2 linked regions of the Coturnix japonica genome follow. Each later gene encodes a partner of the first gene's protein in a complex. Links are inferred from orthologs where the notes say so. Each region holds a gene or a part of one and is shown on either strand. Other genes may lie near its edges. The genes, in order: PLXNA2 and SEMA6A.

Region 1 (9,239 bases):
GTATGAGCTGCTGATAGTCCACAGCTCAGGTATAGCCCTGGGCTGGTTGGGAGAGGGACTGTAGAGGGACAGTGGGACAAAGGGAAGGGACAGAGCCTGGAGTGAAGTGGCCCTGGGTTGGCAGAGACCTTCAGCATCCAGCTCCTTGGGAGGACAGGCTGCAGCAGCCCATTAGAATGGCTGATGGGAAGGACATCAGTGAGATAAGGGGATATTTTCGGTAATGAACTCTCACAGGCAAAGCTGAAAGATTTCAGAGCTGGCTCCCTGACTTCTTCCCTGCAGCTACATAAAAGCCTCTTCTTTGAAATCCCAGGCTGAGCCACCAGCTTGCTTCCAAAGTAAATCAACAACTGTGGGAGAGGGAATAGATGCGAGCAGCGTTCAGCGTTCGGTGCGTAGGTAGATAGTCAGGGCAGTGAGATGAGGAGAGGAGGCGTTTATCTGGGAATCTCTGGCACTTACAGAGGTGCACATCTTTACTGTCCTCATTTCACATGTGGGGAAGGAGAGAGACAGAAGCTTTCATAGCCCTCGTAACATTGAGTGATGCGCCAGCTCTGGGACCACGCTCAGCCTTGCAGACAACCAAGCAACATCTCTGGATCCAAAACACCTCCACTGTGGCACTGTTAGAGGCAAAGCCACTTCCCACACTTCATACATAAAGATAACCCCATATGTCAAAAAGGAATAGATTTACCAGAGGTCCAGCCCAGAACATCCCCAGCCCCAAGCAGCATAAGACAGGGCTCCAGCTCTGGATACAGCAGGGTCCCAGCAGCTGATGTGTGGAGAAGGGCTCTTAATATATGCCACTAAGGGCTGACTGTAATGAATGACTGGAAGGGACTCGCTGGAGACTTAAGTTCAGTTTTTCAGTACCTGTTTACCACTGGCTCAAACCACAGGCAAAGCTTGGATTATTCCTGCATTGCTCCTCAGCTCCCCTCCTGCCCACAGGAGTAAAGTGGATGGGCATGAATAAACTAACCAGCATCAAAAGGTGGATGTTTGAGTGGGGCTTCAATGCAGACAACTACAAGGAATTAACTGTGCCGGAGAAAATGCTTCTTCTGTAATCCTACATAATTAATGCCACACTACAGTAAATGCCTGGTGTGCAGGCACAAGCTGTTCGCTTTAACTCCCTACACACAAAGCAGCTCCCCTGCTTCCCAAAACACCAAATGGACAGCACCCAACCCAACAATGGCCAACAAACACTCCAACCATAGCCAACAACCACCCAGCAAAGGCCAACAACCACCCAACAATGGCCAACAACCACCCAACAATAGCCAACAACCACCCAACAATGGCCAACAACCACCCAACAATGGCGAACAACCACCCAACAACCACCCAACAACCACCCAACAACAGCCAACAACCACCCAACAATGGCCAACAACCACCCAACAATGGCCAACAACCAGCCAGCAATGGCCAACAACCAACCAATGGCCAACAACCACCCAACAATGGCCAACAACCACCCAACAATAACCAACAACCACCCAACAACCAGCCAACAACAACCACCCAACAATGGCCAACAACCACCCAACAATGGCCAACAACCACCCAGCCATGGCAAGCAACCACTCAACAATGGTCAGCAAATATCCAACAACTAGAAACCACCCAGTGGCCAACGTGGCTTGCTGGAACCTCAAGCAGATGCATTATTTGCAATATGCTGATGATTTCTTTCTCCACCCACACCAGGATGAGCCCCATGTCCCACACAGCACCAGGTTGGGCAGGGAAAGAAGGGTTCTGCTCATGCCCCCATGCTCCAGATTTCCTCACTGCACTGAGAGGCACCAGGGAGACTCCTAATTTACTGCTGCTCAGCACTTGTAAAGTGCTGAATGAATATTAATGAACTGATGTAATTAAAATGATGCAGACATTCAAGTGTAGTATCTGCCTGTCCTTGTATCTTCCTGGATAGATGAGGAAGAAATTCCCTGCTGTTTAAGGACACAAAAAATTAACAACCTGCTGTTGATTACATTTGTTAACTCTTTCCCTGGCTTAGAGAAGCAGGGTCTGCATTTAGCAGGTTCACCAAATGATGTCATTGACATCTCAGGTTCATCTGAAGGAAGCAGACTGGTGGTTGGACCCCCAGAGCCCACTCAGAAGCCCCCAGCTCTCACTGCTGGGAGAGAAAAGCAACATGGAGGTTTTCTTAGCCCTGGGCAAGAGCCCCAGCTTTTGTGATGCAAAGGGTGAGGAATGTTATCTACCAGGGATCCATCATCCAGCTGTCTTGGGGAGAGAAGGATAAGGAAGAAGGCTTTGCCCTGAAGCTTGGTTTCCAAAAGCAGCCAAGTCAACCCACTCGCTGATTCAACATTCTGCCACCACCACCAAATATTGCCAGCACAAAAGGAAACTCAAAAGCCTCTGAAGCTCAGTCTACCACACCAACGGCAGAAGGATTATTGCGAAACAACTCAAACCTGCTGCAAGACTTCCATTAAACCTTCACAAACAAAAGGACATCTCTGAGACCCCCTGCCATGGTTCGCTGATGGTCACTTCAACTCACAAACTGTCCACCAGATCTTTTTGCCTCCAACCACGTCAGCCTGTTATTGCTCCAATAACTTCTTCAACAGCCCCACAGATACACCACGGCTCATTGAATGATGAAATGAAAAACCAAACCAAACCACAATGGGCCGTAACACTGACAAGAAACGGATCCCGCCTCCCCAAAGCCACAGAAATTCTCTTACCTTCTTCACTTTGCCATTTTTAGTCCCCACAAACACCACGCTGTAGCCATTGTAGATGTATGAAGCTACAGAAGTCATCCTGTCCCGGCTGGAGGTGAAGAGTGTCACACCATCCACTGGCACTGAGCCACCCAGGGGCTGGTTGATGTCGAGCCCACAGAAGTTGTCATCAATTGGAACAGGCTGGAAAGAGGAGATTTGAGGCAACCATGAGTGAAATACAAAGCAGGAGGCAGCCCTAATTTCATTGCACAGGAGAGCCAAGGAGACTGGGGACATGGGGCTGGTAGGGACATGGAGTCTGCATGGATGTGAGGTCTGTAGGGGTTGACCCAGCTGCAGACCCTGGTTTTTATGGTGGTGCCATGGGGCTGCACCATCACACTGACTGCAGTTCTCTTGCTTATTTTCCATAAGGGACATTCAGGAACTGCCAAACACTTAGACACAACTGTGAAGGGATGGCTCTCCCATGTGCAAGCATTCTCACTTTCCTTTTTTCATTTCATTTAACCCACGTTCATCTCCTCCCAGCAGCCAAACTTAATATGCTTGGCAAAAGAAGGCCCCGGGGATTCTCAAGTCAGCCCTAGAACAATCTGCATCTGAATCAAGATTAGAGAAATCATCTGAATAAAACCACGAAAGATGCAACTGTCATTTGTGTTTATCTTGTTAGTTTGCTGATACCAGCCTCTTGCTGTGGGAAAGGTGAGAGCCTGAGGTTGGGAACAGCAAACACTGCCAACAAGCAGCACACCTTCATCTTTATCCACCTGCCTCAGTGCTGTCCCTCCTTTCACTACCATCACTGATTGTCTGAAAACAATAGGGATTAAGGAAGAAAAGGACTACTACATCCATTCCATATTTAGGGGAACTGAGGCACGGAAATATTGATTCTGTTCTGTAACTTAGGGCCACACATTAAAAACAAAGGCTATGACAACCAACTCACCGCTTTGGTGCACTGGACATCCTTCCCCAGCAGCCAGTTGAGCTCCAGGTTGCCCTCCCCTTGGTAGCAAGACTGCAGCCGGTCCTTGATCTGGGCATTGACAGCACGAATTGGGAAGACACAGAGTGCAGAATCATCCGGAGGCTGGTGGTATTGCTTCTGTCCCTTGGAGAAAATGGCAAAGAGGACATCCTCCTGGGCTGTGATATTGAGGGATTTGGCCAGCACATCCCCTGGCTTTGACAGATAGGCTGCCTGCAGCAGGCGATACTCCGTGTCCCCCCTGACGCAGCCAAAGGGAAGAGAGACATAGGAGTGGAACTTGGGGTCATCTTTGCAGAGCCGGACGATGCGGGATGTATAGAAGAGGTCACTGGCAGAGTTGGAGACGCCCTCTGGGGTCTCTGGTTGGACAGTCAAAAAATACACGAAGTTGCCACTGGCAAAGCCGTAGATGTAGAAGATATCAAAGTGAGAAATGAGAGCCAAGGTGTCTGAGGGGATTTTGATGAGGGACGAGACAAAGTCACTGTGAAGCTCATAATCCAACATCGCCGATGACTCTGGGTCGCGGGGAAGCTTTCGGCTGGAGAGAGTGGGGAAATAATCCTGCTTCCCATCCACTGCTGTGCCAATGAAGAGCTTCCCATCCTCACCCTCGGAGCGCACGATGACGCCGTACATGGTGCCTGTCTTATTGACACTGGACAGGTAGTGCTCCTTCTTGTGCGAGGGCTCCACCAGGATGAACAGGTCATCCAGGCGCAGCAGTTTGCACACCCCCTGGTACAGGCTGCCACAGGCCAGCAGCCGGTTCTCGGAGTAGTCAATGATCAGCAGCTTGTTGACATTATTGGTGAGGGTCAGCACCTCGCTGCAGGGCTGCACGATGAGGGGAGGGTAGCAGGATTTGTTGTCCTCCTCGGGACCGGTTTTGTGAGCCACTAAAATGGTCAAGTTACCTGAAAGCTTGTAAACCCTATTGATGGCTCCGACATAAACCGCTCCGGTGCTTTGGTGGACGGTCAAGTGGTTGAAAGTCCAGTCCCGGTGCTCAGAATGGAAAGTGCTGAATGAGGCACTGCCGGATGCGCTCCAGGAGAGCCATGCCAGGAGGAGGCAGAGAAGAGATGCTGACCTGCCATCACTATCAGAGCGCAGCACCCAAGGGCAGGTCCTCCTCCGATCCATCCTGGGAATGGCCGACCTGTGCCCCAGCAACGTCCCTCACATGGTTCTGGAGGAGAGAAGAAAGGCACAGAGCAAAGGATTAGACCCGGTGTGCCTGCAGATACCATTCAAATTACACTTTCTAATTACAGAGTCCTTGAGATAAAGCGAGGACATCCCTAAGCCTAACAAGAATTAAGCAGGTCTCCTAACTTATTGGCAAACTGTTCAGGTTTGAGGTTGTGCCACTTGGTTCAGCCCCTGTGTGTTAATGCATTCGGTGTTTGGTTGTTATAATGTGCTCCACTCTGCCATGGGAGGGGATAATCAGCTCCCGGCCAAGACAAAGCCTGCAGTTCCCATACAACCATCAATCTGCAGGCTTGGCTAAAAGGATGCCTCCTGCAGGGAATGTTGCTGGAAGCAACACAGGAAATAAGAGGTGTTTTCTGCCTTTAGGACCTCTATGATTTAATGTGAGAGACTGAGGAAGAAGTCTCATGTGGGCAAAAGTGCACTAAGGATGCACCCCAAAGACCCAACAGCCCCCATCACCTCTGCCCTGAGCCAGCAGTGCCCATGCAGGTGGCACCAACGCCTTCTCACACCTCCAGACCTGCTGCCGACCCCAACTTGTGCTTTTAACCCAAATGCTGTGCTTCTTCCACACTCCATGTTGGACAACTCCAGGAACCATCCCATACTGTCCCATTGGCTGATATTCTCCCTCATCCCACATCATTATGGGGTCGCACCACCCTGGGATGAGGAAGATGATGATCCACCTTCCTCCATCACACATAGACCAGGCAAAGACTTGTGATTTATAGCACAGCACAGCACCGTGTCCATGCTGGCACCTATCCTGCAGGACAAGGGCTCCTCCCGGCCCCATGCAGCTGTCAGAGCTTCTGCTCTGATTGATGCTGATCTCAGATTTGGTATTTAAAACAATTCATACCGCTGGAAACCTACACCACGCTCATAAGCGGGTGTCAGCAAGCGGCTGCTCTTTAGGCTTGTTAATGCCGGGAGCTGGAGATGGGTGTTGTGAGAGGTGACAAAGGAGCTCTCCCAGGGCTGCATGTCTCTGTGTCACTGACAAGACAGCGCAGGAGCACGATAATGGGTTCCTCATTCTGCTCAGGGATACGTTTCCTCAGCTGCTGCTTCTGGTTTCCAGCTTCATTTTCACCTCTGGCAGGCAGCAGTTCCCCTCTGCCAGCTCAGAGAGCACTGTGCTCTGATGGTGGGGTGCTCAGGGCAGCAGGTTCTGGCTTATGGGGTTCTGGGATGCACGGGGGCTCAATGCACAACACAACTAATTTCTGCTGAAGTATTGGGTTGGTTTTTCTTTTTCCCTTGGAAGTGAGTTTAAAACACAGCTTTAAGGGCAATCTGAAGCTATTAGTAACACAAGGTAAAAAAAGAAAAACTAAACAATAAAAGAGTAAATTCAGGGCCACAACATAAACCCAAGCAGCTGAAAGGCCTCAATTAGGCTGAAAGGAGTTATCGGGTATTTAAATAATTATTAGATTGAAGGAATAATCACAGGTCTGAGCTGGCTTTTTTTCCCCCACTGTCTTCCTAATGGAGGCCATAATATTATTATTCAAATGGCCACGGTTCCCATTGAGGGGGGAAGGATCCCGGCTCACTCCATCTCAGTGCAGCAGCGCTCTGCTTATTGCAGCTGTCACTCAACTGCAGCACCACGCTTTGTCATTTGTGGCATTTTATGCCACACGAAAAAGGGGGGGGAAAGAAAAGGGGAGGAATTAAAGCAAAAATGAGATTCTCTTATGGAAAATGAGGGCTCAAAGGAACATTTTTGATGCTATGAGTGCAGCAGCTGCCCTCCCACACGGTGTTGGGCCACCAGCTGCCCCTCTCTCTTCGCATGGGCTCCATCTATCTCTGCCTTCCAGAGAAGAAAAGAGAGAAGAAAAGTGGAGTTTGCCCATTTTGTGCCAAGTGAGAGCACACACACGGCTCCTCTCAGCCCTCCTGGAGCCGACCAGGAATGTTCCTGGGAAACGTTTCCAACCATTGAAGCTGTTGCAGTGATTTATGTCCTGTGAAGACCCAATATTCAGGACATTTGGTGCAGCAGCCCCCTGCACTTTCAGCCCAGGCGGCACTCAATCATTTGTTTGCTTGACACCAGCCTGCAATGACCGAACAGTTTGATGTGAAGTAATTACATTTTCCTAACACAAAGCAGGGATGATGGCTCCTACAGCCTTTTTGTTTGCTTATAGAAGGTTCTGACCCCACCAACACTAAAAGCAGGCAGACAGCTCCGGAATGGCTGGGACAGGAGGGACAGCCCTGCTATCCACACAGTGTCCCCTAACATGAGATAGCAAAACAGCAGGGCTGAAAGATACTGAGCTGCAGCCCCAATGCTCACAGCACCCCCATAGGTGCAGGGAAAGAGTTAAGAGGGCAAAGCATAGCATTGTGCTTATTGCTTCCTCCAGCCCTGGGACAAGGAAGAGGAGGGGAAAAGCAAAACCCAGCCGTGAAAAGGCATTTCCCTGATAACAAACACGATTGCATGAATTATGCACCCAATTCAGTCATATTGTCCAGACATGGGATCTTGTTTACACAATACATACCGGATGAGCCACCTCTTCCCCCCCCCCCCAGCCTCAATCCTGAGTGTGCATCCTAGCGGTGCTGGGGTGAGGAGAAGCAGAGTAGCATAGAGCTGGGCTGGCAGCATCCCTGGCTTATCCCAGCCTCATTGCCTGGCCCTGAACATGGTACTCTGAGCACTCTGCTTCCCTCTCAGGCTGCGAATGGTGCTCCCGCACAAGAGGCACTCATGTTCAATCAAAGGAAATGCTCTGCTATCAAAGGGGAGTCACCAAGCACAAACCACTGCAGTAAAGTGTATATAAGGGGCTGTGTTAGTGCTTCGATCCCCCTCTCTGTGTCTGTGTCCGTGAACTGAGCAGAGATTGTTCAGCAGAGCACAGCCGCTCTCCCCTGACAACAGTGACAAGCAAACACGGGCACAGCTATCTCCAACCACAGGGTAAGCCCTCGCTTGCCTCCAGGATGAGAAGGAATGGCCTTAAGTTGTGCCAGGGCAGGTTGGATATAAGGAAAAAAAAATGATTGCTTGAAAGAGTGGTGATGCACTGACACAGAACTGCCATTGAGTGGTGGGGTCACCCTGCAGGTCTGGAACATGAGGACACGTTCAGTGGGCACTGCTGGGGTTGGAGTCAGAGATCTCAGAGCTCTTTTCAGTTCAGACTCTGTTTGATTATTCAAGGGACTTAAATCCCAACAAAACAGAATTTAATGGAGGGTGACCTTAAGTGCAAAGCAGATCAAATGCTTAAACGCTTTGCCTGAAGCGATACAGAAGGTGTCAGTGCCCGCTGCTCCCCCAGGTGACCTCTGGCTGTGGTTTGTTCCATAGGAACACGACAACACGAGCAGTGAAGTCACTGAGCTGCAGGAGGAAAGCAGGCAGCAGCATCTGCTGGCCTCTCTCCAAGTACCCCACAGGCAAATGGAGAGCCCCAGCTTCACATTAAATGGGTCCCCAGCCACTCCATTAAACAGAAATCCTGCAACAGAGCTCCTCTGGCTGTGCCAATGCAGCATTTGTTATCCCCACACACCCCCCGGGCAGCCAGATGTATTTACACAGTAGCCACAGTGCTGTTACCTAAGTAAACCAGGAAATGGGACGGTTGTTACTTGTGCTTTAAGATGCTTGAAAACCCAGCAGCAGCTCAGCCCTGTCCCACCATCATTGGACATCATCTGCACTCAGGTATCACCCAGGACTGCAGTTCCTCCTGCTCTGCTCTGTGCTCCTCTGCCCTGCTTTTCAATTTCAGCACTCTGGCAGATCGCTGATTAATTCAAGCCTGTTTAATAACCCTTCTGTTTAGATGAAACAAGCTGTCTTGTTTTCTTTATTTGCAACACTAACTCTTGTTTCTTCACTAAGGATCTTTCTTCTTTATTAAACTTCTGCCTCGCCTGACAGTGGGGATGCAAAAAGCATCTGCTGAGGTCTATGCGTGACATTGGCCAGCAGTCACAGCACAGGAGCTGCAAACCCCAATGGATACCATGGTCTGAAGTCATTTCTGTCCTGCACACCCACTGCTGTTCCCCTGCACTCACCAGCAGAGCAGGGTCAGACCCATAGCACCCAACTCCCCACCATTTGGAGGCTCTCAGCTGTCTCCCACCTCTTGGCATTTCAAAGCTACACTTGTCCATAGAGCAACTGAGTCATTTCCTTCCCAGATCCAACCTATCAGACCACATCCAGCCAGGCCCGGAAAACAATAAATCCTTCAGGGATTTTTCAGGCCATA
Region 2 (9,872 bases), on another chromosome or scaffold:
GCGCTTCTGTATGTTAAGATATATCTGCGCTCAGCATTTTATTTTTATTTCTGATAAGGTATAACCCCCCTGTAAAGGTATTTCCTACGTTGCTGGGAGAGGGAAAAAGGAGATCTTCCTAGCACTACATGCTTCAAGTGCCTCCTGGACATCAAAGCCATCTCCTACCTTCTTTGGAGCCACTCATGTTTCTCAGACTATGTAAAAATCCTCTGCTTCACCACTCTTGTGGGTTGTTTCTTGTCAGCGCAAAACTGTGCTGTACTTTGAATTTCTGAAATAGGGGCAAGAAGGAAATAAATTGAATCTAATCACAACAACTAATGCAAAAAGTGGAGAATGTGATATGGGAAAACAATGAATGTGGATGTGTTCAACAACTGCGGTGCATCGTTGCATCACTGTGACACACCAGATCCTCAGTACTTCCACAGAAATGACAGAGAAGAAAATGAGTGCATATTCAGCGTGGGGCTCATGCACTGCTTGGAACTGAACTTCACACAAGCCAGATAGATGAGGTAGCTGCCAGCAACCAAAGAGATTCAAGTGTCCTTCCCCAGCACAGTATGAGCATCCCAACAACATCAAGTCAACATATGTATAGAATCATAGAATGAATCACAGAATAGCCTGGGTTGAAAAGCACCACAATGATCATCCAGTTCCAACCCCTGCTATGTGCAGGGTCACCAACCACCAGCCCAGGCTGCCCAGAGCCACATCCAGCCTGGCCTTGAATGCCTGCAGGGATGGGGCATCCACAGCCTCCTTGGGCAGCATGTTCCAGTGCGTCACCACCCACTGAGAAGTGAAAAACTTCTTCCTAAGATCCAACCCAAACCTCCCCTGTCTCAGTTTAAAACCATTCCCCCTTCCTAAGATCCAACCCAAACCTCCCCTGTCTCAGTTTTAAACCATTCCCCCTTGTCCTATCACTATCTGCCCTCGTAAACAGCTGTTCCCCCTCCTGTTTAAATGCTCCCTTCAAGTACATACAGGCCACAATGAGGTCTCCCCAGAGCCTTCTCTTCTCCAAGCTAAACAATCTCAGTTCCTTAAGCCTTTCCTCACAGGAGAGGTGCTCCAGCCCTCTGACCATCTTAGTGTCACTCCTCTAGACCTGCTCCAAGAGCATCCAGGCCTGGACGCAGCACTGCAGATGGGGCCTCACAAGAGCTGAGTAGAGAGGGACAATCACCTCCCTCTCCCTGTTGGCCACTCCTATTTTTAATGCAGCCCAGAACTTTGTATTCTATGTGATTAGGTTGGAGCTTGATGATCCTTGAGATCCCTTCTAACCTAAGCCATTCTATAACTCTATGATTAGGAAGCAAAAGCAGAGGTAATATTTTCACATCAACTCAAATTAAATCTTTGATAGAGATCCTGTCCAAAGAGGAGCTGGAGAACTCTGCAGCTTGCACAAATCTTTCAGATAATGCACAGCTCCATGGATACCTCACCAAGAATCCCTAACCAGATGGAGACTGGAAAACCCACCAGTGCAGCTGCCAAAGAGCAGCCACTGAAAAAATATGCTCCCAAAAGTAAGAGTAATAATTCCCTTCCTCAGGCCAGTGTGAATAGCTCACAGTTTTTAACTAGTCTAGGCAAAAACAGATAAGGCTGTGCTGTGTTTTCAGAAAATCTGACAGCATGGAGAATTGAGACTGTTCCATAAAAACAGCCCGATATGACTTGGTGGGGGAGAAAACATGAGGAGAATAGTTTACCATTCTGGGTACAGAGAGCGAAAGGGGATGAGGAGACAGGTAAAAGAAAAGAGGGTTGTTTCTTTAAGCCATAACACTCATCTGATTTTGCAGAGTTATTTGAGTAAGTTAAGAGCAGAAGGAGCAGTAGGGGAATAAAGGACAGGAGAGCTGACAAAAGTTCTGGCAGAAGGATAAGTGAAAACGGTTGCAGTGTGTGTGTTTAAATGATGAAATAAATCAGTGCAGGCTTGGAAATTAAATACAGGGAAAGAAAGTGGATGAATGAAAAGCACTTTTGTAAAGAAACCTCAACAGAAACTTCTCACAACCGGTGCTGTAGCTCATACCAAGGTATGGAACACGGGATTTTTCACTGATTTCTGCTTCTTCCATAAACTAAAAATCTGGCACGTGTTTTTCAAAACCATAAATATAGGGGGAAAAAATGTTCTCTGTTAGAGAGCCTTTCTGATTAATGAGGAAATCCAAGTGTAAAACAAACTGCTCAGTACTGCAGAAATACTTTTGAAGCACATGAGTAGGGCTCGATTGAGATCTGCTTACAGTTTAAACCACAACAAAGTCAGTGGAAGTCCTGAGCACCTCAAAATGTATGTAGCAGTTGAGGATAGCATAATGATGGAAACTTCCCACAAAGCCAGACTATGTTATCTCTGTTCTCAATTCCTGACACAGGGAGATGCAGTAAGAGATGATCCAGAGCCTCCTCTGGGAAGATAAAGGGGTAGGGCTCTTGGCAAACCAAGGTCCATTCAGTCTGGTTTATTCTTCTGACACATGGTTGGGTACCCAGAAATTATTTGTACTAGTCCAATTCCTCTAATTGCTTTCAGATCTAGCATACGTTTGTTGAACTAAAATTTATCTCTTACCAGCAATTACTCTCTTCAGTGCAGAGCCCTCTTCTGTTTCAGATTTTCAGGGCAAGGAAGAAAATATATACGAAATCTTAGTTCATTTAGTTAGAAAATCATCCTAAGTATACATTCAGTATAAACTGTCTGAAAGAAGAAACTTTTCCCCAACACAGATGGATGTTTTCCCTTGTAATCTACCAACTAGAAACTGAATGAACACGCGTAATTTTAGACCCCAAATCAAATACTGAACCGAAACCAATGTCTCAGAGTCCTTTCATTATCTGAAAATAAAAGGCAAGGGAAAAACAGCTGCCATAAACAAGGAATTATTTTAATGTTAATGACACCCCTTTGTGGCCTGACAGTAAATCCCTTTGCTCTATCCCGTCGTTTCACTTATCTGGTTTGGAGGGGAAATAAATAAATAAATAGATAGATAGATAAATAAATAAATATCGTGTTGAAGCAATTGCACTTGTAAAGCGACTCCTGTTGTGGAGCAGATACCTCCACACGGAAACTCTCCTCTCAAACCTCACTCTAGTGAGAGCTACAGGATACAAAACGCTGTTAATCCCATGCTACGGCTGAGGAACGGCTCTGTCTGTCCCCGCACCCGGAGCCCCCAGAGGTCAGCGATAGGGGCCGGAGGGTCGGATCCACACCCGAGCGTGACAGCCGGGAGCGACCCGACCGGGTGCACGACCGCAGGGCTGGGGTGGGGGATTAACATATTAGCGCCGCTCTCTCCTGCCTCTCTCTGGATCGGCTCCGAGACGGGGATTAACGCAGCCAGCGGCCGCCGGGACGAGATTTGGGTGGAGGAACGATGGAAAAGGAAGAGATGAAGACGGCCGAGATGGGTGCCGGCGGCACCCCGCGGAACCGCAAAGCCGAGATGCTCCGGTCGCTCGCGGGCATCCCTGGGGCGGCGATGCGGCGCAGCGCGTGGATCATGCGGCGGCGGCGGGTGCCGACGGTGCCGACGGGGACTCCGCTCCCGCGGGGCTCAACGCCGCATCCACCCCTCCGGCGGCACCGCCCGCAGCACGGCGGGGCGGGACGGCTGGGCACGTGCCTGCGGGGCGGGGCGGGGCGGGGCGCGGCCGCACGGAGAGATCCAGTCCGGGCTTTGTCTCCGCCTCCGGAGCCGCGTCCCAGGGGTTGGGAGTGGGAGCCGGGCGGAGGCAGGGCAGCGGCGGCGGGCGAGAGGCTTCCAGTCCAATGCCCGACAGCCTGGGGCGAGCAGCGACTGCGCCTTCTTGCCGCGGCACGGCGAGCGCCGCACAGCCTCGGAGTTTTCCTGGAGCAGCTTTAGCACCGGGAGCACTTTTGGTAGAAGGGGAGCAGGACAAGACCCCGCAATGACTTACCTCCCGAGGCACGGCTGAAGGGGACTTACTGGAGTGGAATCGTAGTGGAATTTGGGTTCGGAGAGGAGTTGCGAACGCTTTTTTTTTTCTTCTTCTTCTTTTTTTCTTTTTCTTTTTTTGATATACATATATATTTTTTCACTCCTATTCCCTCTTTTTTTTTTTCTTTTTCTTTTTTCTTTTTTTTTTTTTCCGTCATTGGAAATGAACAAATTGCACTTGCAATTCAGAAAGTAGAAATATTAAAATATTCCATCCCCTGGGAAGCACATATGTAGTAATGACAAAGGATTGCAAAGGAGAGAGTGGCTCCAGTTTCCCAGAGAGATCCCCTTAAATGGATTACTAAATGGGACACACCATCAGCTAGTTCTGTCCTCTAGCTGCCCAGATAGATGCACCGAAAAGGTACAGTACTCCCCGTCCGTATCCGATGTGTTGGGTTGCGTGGAAGGAAGGCACCCGCCTCGCCCGGCCGGTCGAGAGCGGTGGGGACGGCGGGCGGCGGCTGCGGCTGCTTCGGCAGCGCCGATGGCATTAAGCGAGGAGCTGCCCGCAAGCGCACGCGTTGTGCTCGCCGCTGCCACTTTCCAGGCATCTCGTGGCTTCGTCTCTCTTTTCCTTTTTTCCTCTTTTCCTCTCCCCCGCCCCCAGGCTGCTGAACGCGCCGGCGCTCCCCGGCCCACCGGCACCGTTTGCATGCACGGTGCTCGAGCTCCTGTCCGCATTCTCCCGTCTCCCAGCCCCGCTCCCTGCCCGCTGCTGCGGGGGGTTTCGTGCGGGGCCGGATCAGCGCTGCCCGCGGTCACCGCGCGGGGCTGTGAGCTGCCGGGGTCTTTGTTACAGGCACAGTGCGGGAGCTTCGTGCAGAGGCGTAACCCACGGTTTCCTCTCTCAAGTGCGGGATTGTGGTGGTGTCTTCTATTTTGGTGGGCTTGGAGGTGTGTTTCGGGATTGGGGTTTTTGTTTGTTGGCATTATTTTATTTTATTAAATTTTCAAGGCTGAAAGAAGAGGCCGGCAACCGAGAAAACTTCGGTTTCCCCGGGTGCTACAGCGGCTTTGTTCGCGAGGGTGGGCTGAGGCCGTGGGCTCCCCTCCCCGCCGCACCGACCTCTGTCCCCGCAGAGGGGCTGCGGGCTGCTCGGCTGCCGCGGCAGGGAGAAGAGAGGCTCCCGGGCAGGGCCCCTTCCCCGCCCCCTTCTCGGCAGGGTGAGGGCTCTGCTCTTCGCTCGCTCTCCTGCCCGGGGAGCCGAGAAACGGCGGAGAAAGTTTTTCTAGGGGGAAGAGCGGGGCAATCCGGCACGAAGGAGCTGCTGCAGCCCCTCTCGGAGCTGGGCAGGCGGCTCCGAGCGGCCGGCAGCGGGCAGCTTCGTGCCGCTGTTGAAGAGAAGACGGTTTAGTTACCCTCAGCCCAGCCCGTGTAGGGACTGCGGGCGAGGCGTGCTAGGAACACACCGCTCCCCCGACCCGTGCTGCCCGGAATGAGGCAGGGGGTCAGCGCTGCCCCGGGTCCTGCCGGCGTCCCCGGGGAGGGTGGCAGAAAGTTTGGCTTTGCTTCGCGACGGAGAAAGTACCTGCAAGAGCTCGGCCGTCCCTCCGCCCCTCCTGCCCGAGGGAGGCGCTTCCTGGGGTGGCTGCAGGCGGGGGAGCGTTGCGAGCGCGGACCGTCGCGGAGGCGATGTCGTTCTGTCCGCTGGCACTGCGATGTCCTGGCAGCCCCTGGCCGGGTGAGTGCCGGGCTGAGCTCCGCGGACGGCTGTCTGTGTCTTTGCCAACAGCGACCGCTTGTTCGGAGGGAAATTTGCTCTCCTTCCACTCTTTAAGCAAATTGCTGCTTTGGAAGTTTGTAAACCTGTGCTCGTGTGCCCGAGGTCTGTGCAGCACACATCTTTGGTAGTTGTGGACGGGAAATTGTTCGACTAATAGACCTGCAGAAGCAAAGGCTTGAAGTGGCCCGTGGTAAAACACGTTAATTCTAGGCTTCGCTACAGGAACACTTGGTCCTCCAAAGGGGTGGACGCATGGGCTGTGCGTAGTAGTAAATAGTGAAGAGCTGAATCTCCACGACCATTTTCTGCCACAGAGCTGTGTGCAGTGGCTAACTGTCGTAGGTTGGGCTAACTTTTGTTCAGTATCATCTGGCACCTGTATTAATTATTAAGCTAACCTCGATGACAGTGGGGAAATCATGCCCCTTGCTATGCTGTCTTGGCAAACACTGTCTGTGTGCGATTCAGTGTTCTCATGTCAGTAAGCTTTACTTGCCGGGTAAATCAGCGTGAGGAAGTCCAGCTGAGCGAGGCTCTATCACAAAACTTGTGGAGATTCTGACAAGTCTGTGGCAGCTCTCTGAGAATAGGATTTATGCAGCCACTGTAATGTTCAGGGCTTGCTTTGCCATTTGTTTTCTGCAAGCTGACTGTGCTCTGGTTAACTTTGTTGGGTTTTCTGTTTGTTTTTGATGAGATTGATCTAGTGTGTTGTGGGGAAAAGTGGGTTTCCTACAGCAAACCCTTTCTTTCATGGAATTGCCTCATGTGGAGTACTGAAAGGAAATGTTGTAGAGTCAGTAAGATTGGGAAGGTTTGCCTCAAAAAAGTGCAGTTGCCAGAATGTTTCAATGTCTAGGGTATAATTTTGTCTGAAAGGATCCTGTTTTTCATGTGGTAGCTTATCCAAAGATATAATGCAAAGAGAAAATACACTAACTCTCTTTAAAGCCAAACAATTTCCTATGCATAAAAATGTTGATCTTGGTTCTCTCCCACTCTTCACTGAATAAAATCTCTGTCTTTGAAGTAATTTTATCTCAGGAGTGGAATGCCCAGAAGAAGTTTCTGCCTGAATGCAAAATGAATTTTAAAATAGCAATTAATACCATAAAGTATAATTGCACTGTTTGCTTTTCCTGTAGTGGGAATCAAGTGCTTGAAGCATGGATGAGTACTTAAAAGGAAAACGAATCATATGGTCGCAGATGTTCTTTGTATTCTGAATTAGCCTACATCAAAACTGTTACTCTGACTTCCAGTGGCAAAGCCAACCTTATGAGATAAACTTGTCATTCTTGAACAAAACAAAACAAAAAAATAGTTGGGTGCTAATGTCTGCAAGAAATATGTTGATCTATCATCTCCAGCTGCTTGAAGATGGAAGTGAGTATCAACCATAGTCTCCTTGTAATGTTTGCAAATTAGGGCATGCAGTTATTGCTGTTCAGCGTGAGGAAGGAGGTAGGTCAGGTTTGGGAGAAGGTGTTGTCCTTGCTCATTTATTATTATTATTATTTTGGAGGGAAGGGGGGAGGTGGGGTAAGAGTGAGAGAAAAAGGGAAATCAGAAGGATCAGATTAATGACCTGTGTTAAATCCAGAATAGAACTGTTTGCATTGAAAAGGAAGTAGGTTATTGTGAACTTGCTTGTGCGTGTTTTGTGAAGGGAAGGGGAAACTTGTCATCTTGTTTTGAAGAGCCATACATAAATACGCATGAAAAGAGTTCACATGGTTTGCAGCAGGAGAGACATAAAATGTTTTCGGATTAAATTGACCTGAGCTAATGTATGTCTTGCATCCAACTTGTTTGCAAGGACGCATTGTTACACTTCTCGGTCAAATGCTTTGTATCTGATTCCCATGCACTATTACCAGAGCACTGAAAAGAAACAACGTGGTAAATTCTGCTACATAAATATCTATTCTTTTAGGCACAGAATATGCTAGAGTAAAGTTGAACTATACTAGAACAGAAGTTTTCACTATCTTAATTTGATACAGATGCTGCAGTATTTTACCTCCTACTATTCATTTATTAAGGAGGTAGATCTTTAGCTCTTGTCCTTTCCAGTCTTGCTTGCCCAGCTCTGCTCTGCTTGTTGGAGTAATTGGATGAAAATAAAGGCAGTTGCTGAAATATTAGTCAATTAGGGCCATTCTTCCATAGCGTGGTTCCCCCTGCTTTCTGGTGGGAATCTATGCTTGATGAGGACGTGCAACCGTGGTCCTTTTGCTGTGAATCAACCTTCATTATTCAGGCAGACTTCTGTCCACATCTTCTGGAGCAATCAGCATTTAACACAGACCTACAGCAGACTGTGGCAAGCCTTGTCTGGGCTGGGAAAGAGAAGAAAGAGAGTAGTAAGCAATGCTTTCTTCTGCACTATAAATTCTGTGCATCAGACTACCCTGAGGTAGGTGAGGAGTGGGGTGGTAGGTAGTAAAGAGATCCAGCAGTGGTATCAGGTCCTGCAACATAGAGCAACCAGAAACAGGCTTTAGTGGCAAAAATAAGCAGCTGAGAGAAAACTCAGGCCTGAGTATAAAACCTCTACATATGAATGTGTTCATTTTGAGCCTGTTGCATCCATCAGTAAGGAAAGAGCTTGGACAGGCTCTGCAAAGGCAGAAGTGCGTGTCCTGGTTGAAGTGCAAACTGGACAGTCTGGAGTCTTTATTCCCTCTGTATGCTGTCTTCTGAGAGAATGAAGCCATGAAAATAGCTGAATGTTAGCATTTATACAGTGTAGAGGGTTGTTTAACTGGTCTCAGAAAATGAGTCTTTGAGCTTGGGTCTTGCCTGTAATGTGACAAGTATGGCAGCACAGCTCAAACACTGCTTTAGGATTTAAAGGGAAGAGTGCCACCTACTGTGTTGCAATTATACATATTGCATGTCCTGCATGTCCCCTGGAGTCCCTAAGGTGCCCACTTGCCACTCCTATTTTAGCAACTGGGTAGGAAAAGTTTCAAAATTCACAGTGATATGGGAACTGGAGAAAAAAAAATAGAGTATCTTGTAACATCAGAGTATTCAGAAAGTCTTGGAAATGGTTTATTGAAAGACATGCATAGCTGTATTTGCTATTTTTGTCACTTAAGACTTATTAAAGCTGCAGCCAGTTAATGGTGGGGGCACAAGAAATAGGGGAGAGGGTTGGAGTTCTAAGCCACCCCCCATGAATTTATCATATTCTCAGCTTTCATGAGCCAGGAGAACGTACACGAAGCTGCCAGATTTATGTCCTGTGGAATCTAAAGTTTAGGTCCACTGTAGTAGTTAAAAAAGAAAAAAGCAAGATTCCATCTTTTGCAAAATAGCTTCTAAAAATGATGAAGAAAATCTGTAAAAAAAGAACAAAAAACAAACCACCATGAGACATCTCATAATTCACTAGTAAAAAATGCTCCTGATAGTTAACTCTTTCCCAGTGTGGAACTGTAGTTATTTATCAGTAAGGAAAAGAGGTGTGTTATACTCTGTGTGAATACAGAACCATTTCTGCCTGGAAGGAATTTTCCCTCAGTCCCCAAAGTGTTTCTGTACTGGCTGAAACAGAGATGTAAAATGAAGAAGATAAACTAGCTATTAGCAGAACTGCCAGTTGATGTATCTCTGGAGTGAAGACATATGGTAACTCGCTGCATTCTGCAATGACCTTCTCTTTAAAAGTATTGTCGATAAAAGACATTTCTGTGTACAGTATTTATGACAGACCCTTGAAATTCATATGTTGCGGGCTACCCCATGCTTTTTTCTTTTTAACCACTGTGAAGTGCAAATGAGGGTCTTCACACAGAAGCAGTTTTACACCTTTCATGGCGTATTCATGGCATACGGAAGGTAAGCACCTCCAGGGCAGGTGCCCAGCATTGCATGCTTCTTGTATCCCTCCCTCCCTCCCCTAGTGAAACCATGCCTTGGCTGCAGGGTCGTACCCTTAGTGATAAGGGCAAAAAATGTATTCCTCTGCTTCTCTCATCTCAGTAGCCTTTATGTGGAAACTTAATGTTGATGCAATTGGAAATAAAGGATGTTCTTATTACATCATTTCGCCTTAATCTGAGACCATCTAGTGGATGGGGAGTATAATAGTGATTTATTTATTTTATTTTTTATTTTT

What was found.
Region 2: the proteins of PLXNA2 (region 1) and SEMA6A are in contact, whole or in part, in a crystal structure (PDB 3AL8), measured with the Mus musculus proteins. The link is inferred for Coturnix japonica from reciprocal best matches to the Homo sapiens genes PLXNA2 and SEMA6A. Residues at the interface, in NP_032908.2 of Mus musculus: Ala93, Cys94, Tyr95, Pro96, Lys155, Gln192, Asp193, Tyr194, Asp220, Phe221, Val222, Pro229, Ser230, Asp231, Leu386, Lys389, Val391, Thr394, Lys395, Ala396, Pro397, Val398, Leu407, Asp408, Ile409, Asn410, Gln411; in NP_061214.2 of Mus musculus: Arg108, Met109, Lys110, Gly111, Met162, Ala163, Thr188, Phe190, Leu191, Ile193, Tyr198, Thr206, Arg208, His212, Asp213, Ser214, Glu219, Gln266, Arg267, Glu270, Lys271, Lys393.

What each region holds. Positions count from the first base shown.
Region 1 is NC_029541.1:3,040,574-3,049,812, forward strand, and holds part of PLXNA2 (plexin-A2), read right to left. Parts: intron 4,949-9,239; 5' UTR 4,903-4,948; coding exon 3,712-4,902; intron 2,937-3,711; coding exon 2,754-2,936; intron 1-2,753. UniProt on the Homo sapiens protein: Coreceptor for SEMA3A and SEMA6A. Necessary for signaling by SEMA6A and class 3 semaphorins and subsequent remodeling of the cytoskeleton. Plays a role in axon guidance, invasive growth and cell migration.
Region 2 is NC_029547.1:64,082,614-64,092,485, forward strand, and holds the start of SEMA6A (semaphorin-6A), read left to right. Parts: upstream 1-3,765; 5' UTR 3,766-4,380; intron 4,381-9,872. UniProt on the Homo sapiens protein: Cell surface receptor for PLXNA2 that plays an important role in cell-cell signaling. Required for normal granule cell migration in the developing cerebellum.